Linked DNA regions of Callithrix jacchus. The protein of the gene in region 2 purifies or fractionates together with the protein of the main gene of each other region. This does not show direct contact. Links are inferred from orthologs where the notes say so. Each region holds a gene or a part of one and is shown on either strand. Other genes may lie near its edges.

The links.
Region 1: the proteins of TJP1 (region 2) and OCLN purify together in Homo sapiens (affinity purification with western blotting; 4 studies listed by BioGRID and IntAct, with this or other methods). This does not show direct contact. The link is inferred for Callithrix jacchus from reciprocal best matches to the Homo sapiens genes TJP1 and OCLN.

What each region holds. Positions count from the first base shown.
Region 1 is NC_133503.1:140,011,335-140,015,249, forward strand, and holds the start of OCLN (occludin), read right to left. Parts: upstream 2,894-3,915; 5' UTR 2,827-2,893; intron 2,758-2,826; exon of another isoform or gene 2,634-2,757; intron 2,561-2,633; exon of another isoform or gene 2,434-2,560; intron 1-2,433. UniProt on the Homo sapiens protein: May play a role in the formation and regulation of the tight junction (TJ) paracellular permeability barrier.
Region 2 is NC_133507.1:7,931,123-7,934,937, reverse strand, and holds part of TJP1 (tight junction protein 1), read left to right. Parts: intron 1-868; coding exon 869-1,012; intron 1,013-3,171; coding exon 3,172-3,266; 3' UTR 3,267-3,815. UniProt on the Homo sapiens protein: TJP1, TJP2, and TJP3 are closely related scaffolding proteins that link tight junction (TJ) transmembrane proteins such as claudins, junctional adhesion molecules, and occludin to the actin cytoskeleton.

The DNA.
Region 1 (3,915 bases), on a different chromosome or scaffold from region 2:
GCCTCTTAGAAAGGCGGAATCCCAGGCCCCACTCCTGACCTCCCAGTCAGAATCTGTGTTTCAATAAGATCCCTGGGTGATTCATACCACAGCCAAGACTGGAATCACTGGGTTACAGAACAGCAACAAGCCTAGAGGTTAAAACAAAAAGCCTAATAGAAATCTGCCTGGTCTGTTTACTCTCTTATTTCTATAAATAATTTGATGAAAAAGGCCCATTAACATTCCAAACAAGTAAGCTTCAAGATGCAACTGAAGAAAACTTCCCTCTGGGAGGTTCCTGGGAAGGTGAAAGATATTACATCAGTTCATTTATGTGGTTAAAAGTAATCTATTATTTTGAAAAGGCAGTAATTCCAACATTACCTTTAGAAGAAAACAAGAATTTTACCTTGACATCAAGCAAAATGTGGGAAATCTGATATCAGGCGATACGTATTAGTCAATGATAGAAAAATCCCCCAAATCTGGCTGTGGAATATGAAGGACCGCTGCTTCTGATATTCCTTCCCTGATTAGCTGAAGCAGTTTGCAAGCAGGCCCACCTGCAACGTTTCCCCCACAGCGTTTGTCCACTTTTAAAACGGAGTTCCATTAAGACCTGTCTTTTACAGGTGTTGGGATGATTAAATGACAAAATACAGAATGCTTTTAGCACAGTGTCTCACCTGCAGGAGGCACTACCCATTACTTCCCGAAATGACCTGGAAGCTGCCGAAAGGTGGAGAACCTGTCTTACCAACCTCTCTATCCTCCTCTCCATCACAACAAAGGAGCTCTAATAACTAAATAAATTGCAAAACGTAGGGGGAAAAGAAAAGTTCCTTTGAGGAAATATCTGTGCCTTCCACCGCCCCTTAAGATGTCTATTTTAAAGCACCATTAAGGAAATATTCATAAAGGCCGGGTGTGGTGGCTCGCACCTGTCATCCCAGCACTTTGGGAGGCCAAAACGGGGAATCACCTGAGGTAGACAATTCGAGACCAGCCTGACCAACACGGAGAAACCCGTCTCTATTAAAAATACAAAACTTAGCCGTGCGTTGCAGCAGGTGTCTGTAGTTCCAGCTACTCCGTAGTCTGGACAGAAGAACCTCTTGAACCCGGGGAGGCGCCGGTTGCAGTGAGCCAAGATTGCACCACTGCACTCCAGCCTGGGCGACAGAGCGAGACTTCGTCACACACACACACACACAAAACCAACTCACATGTACAGTGCAACAGAACTATTGTTACTATTGTTACACTTGGGAATGCCTGGTTTTCTATCACAGCAGGAATCACCCTAAGTGCCTTCATGGGAAGCGTTTCTCTTTTCCAGGGATCCCAATAATACACCTGTTGCCTCGGGAGCACACACTAATCTGCTTGGAAAGCCGCCTCCTCCTCGCCCGGGGTAATTTCCCAAGCGGGCAGTGTGGCCAGCGAGCCCCGGGTCCCGCCTGAGGATGCAGCGGTTTTTCCTTGGGCGGGTGGCTTCACGAGGAGCTCCAGGGGCTCGGCGCCGCTCCCAACCCCTAGGCGCAGAGGCCATCTTGGCCGTCGACCCCTGCTTCCCGCAGGCTTCCTCCGACGCAGGAAACATGGCTGGCGCGCGGGTCCGGTCCTGCCCCGGAGGTCCCCAAACTCCGTGGCCCAGCCGGGCGCGGGTCCCGGCGTCCGTGCGTCCCGCGGCGCACCTGGGCAGCGCGCGCCTGCGTTCGCCCGGCAGGCACCGCCCGGAGGCAGTTCCGCCCCCCTGACTGCAGCCTTTTGGTCACGGATGAGAATCCGAAGCGTGAACAGCTTCCCTAGAAGTCCAGCCTCACTCGAAATTAACTCCTCGTCCCCCAGCTTAAATCGACGCCGGTTCACAAAACTCCCAACAAGCGGATTCGAAGTAGCCAGTGTGGCCCACACCGTGACTCCCACAATATTTCACAGATTGAATCCAGCACCCCTCTCCCCGGAATTCCCAAAGGGGTGGAGCGGTGTGGGGGCAGAAGGGATGAAATTCCCCCCTAGGATGTAAGTCGCCCGGGCCAGCGAACAGCCCCCACGCAGTAGCCTCCGGCTTGGGAGCCCCTCTGCATGAGGGCCGCACCGCAAAACGGCAGCCCCTGAGCTGATGCAGGAATGTCGCGTCCCAGAAAAGTGAAAAGTTGCCCGCGCTGCCGGGGCACTGCCAGCTTTAAGCGTTTCCGAGTAATAAAGTTTGATCGACGGCTTCAAGCCGCCCCTCGCCCGGGGAGGCGGCCTCCCAAGTTGGCCGGCGCTGCTCTCTCCGCAGATCCGCGCCTCTCCGGTTACCACAAGTACCAGCCCGGGATCGAAACTGCCACCGAAACCAGCGCTGGGCGTTCTCCCCCGCCCGTCCCCTAACAGAGGCGCCGCGGTCCCCCTACGGGGACCCTCGGGCTCCCGTGCGCCCCCTGCGCTGCGCTCAACACTCACCCACTCGCCGCAGCTGGGCCCGACCCACCGAGGGCCGCCGGAGCCAGGGAGCGCGCTCACCTGGCGGCCACACCTGACGCCGCGCCGACCGCCAGCGCGCGGCCGGGGACAGGGCTGGGGACGTCTCAGCCCTCCTCCCGCCCCTCCTCCCAATCCTCTCCCTCCTCCCCACACCCGGCCCTGCCCCCGGGCATGCGCACCAACGTGAAGGGGTGCGGGAGGCCCGCGGGCTCGCGCCTGCGAGTCCCACCTGCTACGTCCGGGACGGGCTCCTCTGCGCTCTGGCCCTAGCTCCTGGTTCCTGGCGTCTCCGCCGGAGGAAGCGGGGAGGGAGAGGTGGGCGCGGGAGTGAAGGTGTGGTGTGTCGGCCTCCTCCCTCAGTGACCCATTCACCTGAAACTCGGATGGGAGGGGGCGGGAGGACGCGGCCCTGCTCCCCACACCCGGCCAGCTTGCTGTTAAAGGAACCGCGCGGCGTTCCGGCCCGAGGGGCGGGGCGCGGAGGAGAGGCGCGCTCTCCCACGGGCAGCACGGGTGGGGGTCCTGGACCACCTCGGGGCGCGCTCTTGGTGCTCCTCCTGCCTCTGTTGGAACCTCGAGCTGCCTGACGAGGAGAAGCAGAACAAGGGCCGGAGGGGACTTGTTAGCTCCGGAAAGAGGGCCCAGATACTCAGCACTTTGCTAGGAAAGGCACGTCCTCCTGGGACGCTTTTCTGCTTCCAAAATTTGATTAAACTGTTGCTGGAAAAAGGCATCCATATATGTTGCTCCAACGAAAGACTCCGGGGAAGATTTCAAAAATCGTGTGTAAATACTGGCGCTGTTTCTGAATCTCTAGATTCAGAATAAGACAATTACTTAGGGGGGGTTAAAATGAATGTTAACTACTGTAGCTATTAGTGTCAGTCAGTTGCCGTCCAGCAGGCTAAAGTGCGTAATACAGTTTACACATCACCACCTCAGGGTCCTCTCCTGCCCACCTGCTCCCAAATACAAATGGTGTGATCGAGAGTCTGCTCTTGGGGACGGGGAGATTTAAACTATTCTGGCTTTTTGCCCTAAGAAAAAGCACCTTCTACATTACCAAACTGTAGTGCTTTAAGAACACTACTTAAAAAGCAAAATAAACTTGGTTTACTTTTTTTTTTTTTTTTTTAAAGAAAACGAAAAAGCACCTTAGTTCTGGTTGCTGTGTTCTATTTCTTGATCTGGATTCTGGTTCCACAGGAAATTTCATATTCTGCACTTAACACTGTGTATACTTTTATGTACGTTTGTTGTTTTTCAACATATTTTTTAATTGCACCCTAGGATGTGGCAATTATAGTTCTTGGCATTTAACTATCTGCATTGAAAACGAACTTTTAGGTTTCTTAAATCCTGGTTGTCTTTGTGTTCCAGACTGGAATGTCAGCATTGCTAATAAATTTCTATCCAATCCCATCCACTTCTCTACCTTTAATTAAATGGTTAGAGATGTGA
Region 2 (3,815 bases):
CTGTGCCTTCACCTGATTGGAGAACCCTAAACCTCTTGACAGGTACTGTCCTACTCATCACCTCAGAACCTAGCAGTAGTAAATTATCCACAGAGTGTATGAGTGAGTCTTAGAGGAGATTACAGTATGTTTCTGAGTTTCTTAAGGAAACTTATTTTCATAATCCTCCTGGATCTATGAGGATATTATAATGAACTGTGTCGTTATTTCCTTTCGCATCTTTTAGCAGTGCTTTTACTTTCCTAAATAAATTAACTTTAGTTTGCTTTCTTACATTTTGCCAGAATGCTGACATCTGATTCTGTACTCTGATTTTGGGGATATCCTGTTTTAAAAATCAGTAGGATTGACAGTCGGCCCTGCATGAATCCCTTTAACCACCTCTGTAGCAAACAAAACATTTTAAAAATGGAAAATAGGTCACATTTGTAAAAAATACATTTGAATATGTTTTATACTATAGACCTATATGATTGAATGCAGTAGCCACTACCTGCATGTGGGTAGCTAGTATCTGAAGTGTGACAGTTTTGGATTCAAGATGCTGAAAAGGTGAAATACACACCAAGTTCCAAAGATTTCATATGTTGGTTACATGTTGAAATAACAGTGTTTTGGTTATATTGAATTAAATAAAATATTAAAATATTTTAATGTTTGATGTCATCTGTTTCTTTCTAATGTGGCTGCTGGGAAATTTTAAATTCTGTTAAGTGGCTGCTGTTAAGTTTTTTGTGGTCAGTGCGACTGTAGAGAACTAACTCCATTAGGCTTAAGCATCTCATTAGAAGCAGGGTGAAGAAAACTGTGGGTCTAGAAGAAAGACCACATCCAACCTCTCTCTGCCCATCCCCTTTGCCAACTCCAGGTGAAACCCTGCTGAGTCCCTTGGTGATGTGTGGGCCCCATGGCCTCAAGTTCCTGAAGCCGGTGGAGCTGCGCTTACCACACTGTGCGTCCATGACTCCTGACGGTTGGTCTTTTGCTCTAAAATCATCCGACTCCTCGTCGGGTATGCTGTCTTCACTCTGTCCTTTGGGGGCTTTGGGGACTGTCGTTGATTAATCCCTGGGCTGCTGATGCTACCCGTGCTGTACAGCAAATCTCTACCTCGATTCTTGTGGCCTCGTAGGCATCACCAGTGTTTTCACGTTTATTTGTGGTACATATATTGTAAATAAATACGGAAATGTAGAAGAGTTTCTGCTTTTAAAAATCAAGAATTTGGCCAAATATTGACTGTCCCTCGGTGTTCAGCAAAAAGATTTATTCTGTCAAATTTTTCAAGATTCACTGGGAGAATTGTTACTGTCCTGCACATGTGGGCATTTTTATCTTCTTCTTAAAATGATTTCATTCCTTTATATAACTTTTCTATTTTTGTTTTTTTTTTGTTGTTGTTTGTATTTTTTGAGATGGAGTCTCACTCTTTCACCCAGGTTGGAATGCAATGGTACGATCTTGGCTCACTGCCATACCTTTGCCTAACGGGCTCAAGTGATTCTCCTGCATCAGCCTCCTGAGTAGCTGGGATTACAGATGCCTGCCACCACACCTGGTTAATTTTTGTAGAGATAGGGTTTCACCATGTTGGCCAGGCTGGTCTTGAACTCCTGACTTCAAGTGATCCGCCCACCCCAGCCTCCCAGGGTGCTGGGATTACAGCCATGAGCCACTGTGCCTGGCCTGTTTAATTTCTTAATCTACAAAGCATGTCTACCAGATAAACTTAAAAGATCTTCCATTGTGATCATACTTGGCCATGGTTTTTCAGTGTAATACTCTAAATAACTTCTTTTATACACTTGTTGTAAATGACTTTTTACTTCTAAGATCATAATTTCAAAGCTTCCATTACATTTTCACATTTCTCACTTCCTTGAGTGATTTAAGTTAGTTAACAATTGGAATTTTATTTTGGGTATAGATCACTTTAAGTGAGCCTGATTTAAAGTACTGCTTCTAAATCTTTGATAAATCAGATGAGCATTATTTAGTTTTAGTTTGGTACAGTATGAAATAAAAGTTTGTGGTATAAAGATTATAGCAAGAGCATATATTAATGTTAACAGAGAAAAATTACTTGTAAATATGTATTTCCTCATATTTACAAGTAGCCCATTTTCTGGAAAAATGAAAGGCTTTTGACTCCAGATATTGCTTAGGGCGTCCAGCATACTGTAGGCAGGGTTCTTAGCTGGCACCGTTGACAGTTTGGCCACATGATTGTTGTAGGGGCTCTCCTGTCCACTGTGGGATATTTAGCAGCTTCCCCGGCCTCTATCCCTAGATGTCAGTGGTAACAAGCAAAACTGTCTCTAGATGTCCCGTTAGGGGCAGGGTTGTGCCTGTTTGAGAGCTACTGCTATAAGGGAAGCAAGAGTCCACAGTTGGGACTCTCCACTTGCTTGGGTACCACAGAGATACACAGTCATCCCTGCCTTCTTCACATTTCATAGAAATCACTAAGAGCTTACTAAAAACTCAGACCCTGAGACCTGACTAACACACGGCGAGTGAGTGAGTGAAGCTGCGGGATCAGTTGTGTTGTACAGCTGGAATCAGCTGAGCAGCTCTGGTGCAGTCTTGTTTTTTTGTTTGTTTTTTGTAAGGGGGAAGACAGGCTTCAGGTACTAGATTCTGGAGAACTAGGTTTCATTTGTTGGTCTGTAGTTGAGTGTGAGAAATGTATCCTCATTCTCAGCTCAGATAGTTGGTCATATAATGATTCTCCAGACTTTTGAAAGTGAAAGAAAAATGCTACTGATAATTATGTGGGCTCAGGGGCAAACTGGGACTGTCTTAGGCATATGATTGCTGTCACTCACTCGTATTTGTGTTTCGAAAAGCCTAATGCACTTGATAATGTCATAAAGGAGAGGTCTGAAAGTTAAAAAAAAACAAACCTTTCTTAATGGTATGAGGGTGTCAGTTGGAAAGAAAGTTTAAAAATATATATTTTTTAAATACAAGAAGTGTGAAGCACCTTTGAAATTGTTAGATGCCAGCAGGTCTGCATTGAAATAAAGCAATGAGTTTTGATAGAAATACAATATTCTGAGGAAATACAAGACAATTATATCTAAATATCCGTATTTGCCCATAATTGCAAAGCGTTACAGACAGCAGGTTACTCAAGTGTAAATGACATCATCTTCTTTTCTCTCATAGGTGATCCTAAAACCTGGCAAAACAAGTGTCTTCCTGGAGATCCAAATTATCTCGTTGGAGCAAACTGTGTTTCTGTCCTTATTGACCACTTTTAACTCTTGAAATACAGGAACTTGATTGAATAATGTGAAACTGGGTCAAACTCACTAAATCTAAATGGAACCACTCTATCAAGTATTATACCTTTTTTAGAATCGAGACTACAATTTGTTAGTATTAAGTATTTGTTTGAACTGAGAAAGATTAGTGAGCATGCCCCGAACCATGGTCAGAAAACATGCTACACACTGCATGTTTGTGATTGACGGGGACTACTGGTATTGGCTAGAGGTTCAAAGATATTTTGCTTTGTGATTTTTGTAATTTTTTTTTTTTTTTTTTTAGCATCACTGCTTAACTTCACATATTGATTTCCGTTAAAATACCAGCCAGTAAATGGGGGTGCAGTTGAGGTCTGTTCTTTCCAAAGTACACTGTTTCAGACTGTATTACGGCCCTGGCCTAGCATACATACACATTTTATTTTATTATGCATGAAGTAATATGCACACATTTTTTAAATGCACCTGGAATATATCAGCAGTGTTGTGGATTTAACAGAAATGTACGGCAGGGGGATTGGTAACTCTGGGGGAGGGTGAAGT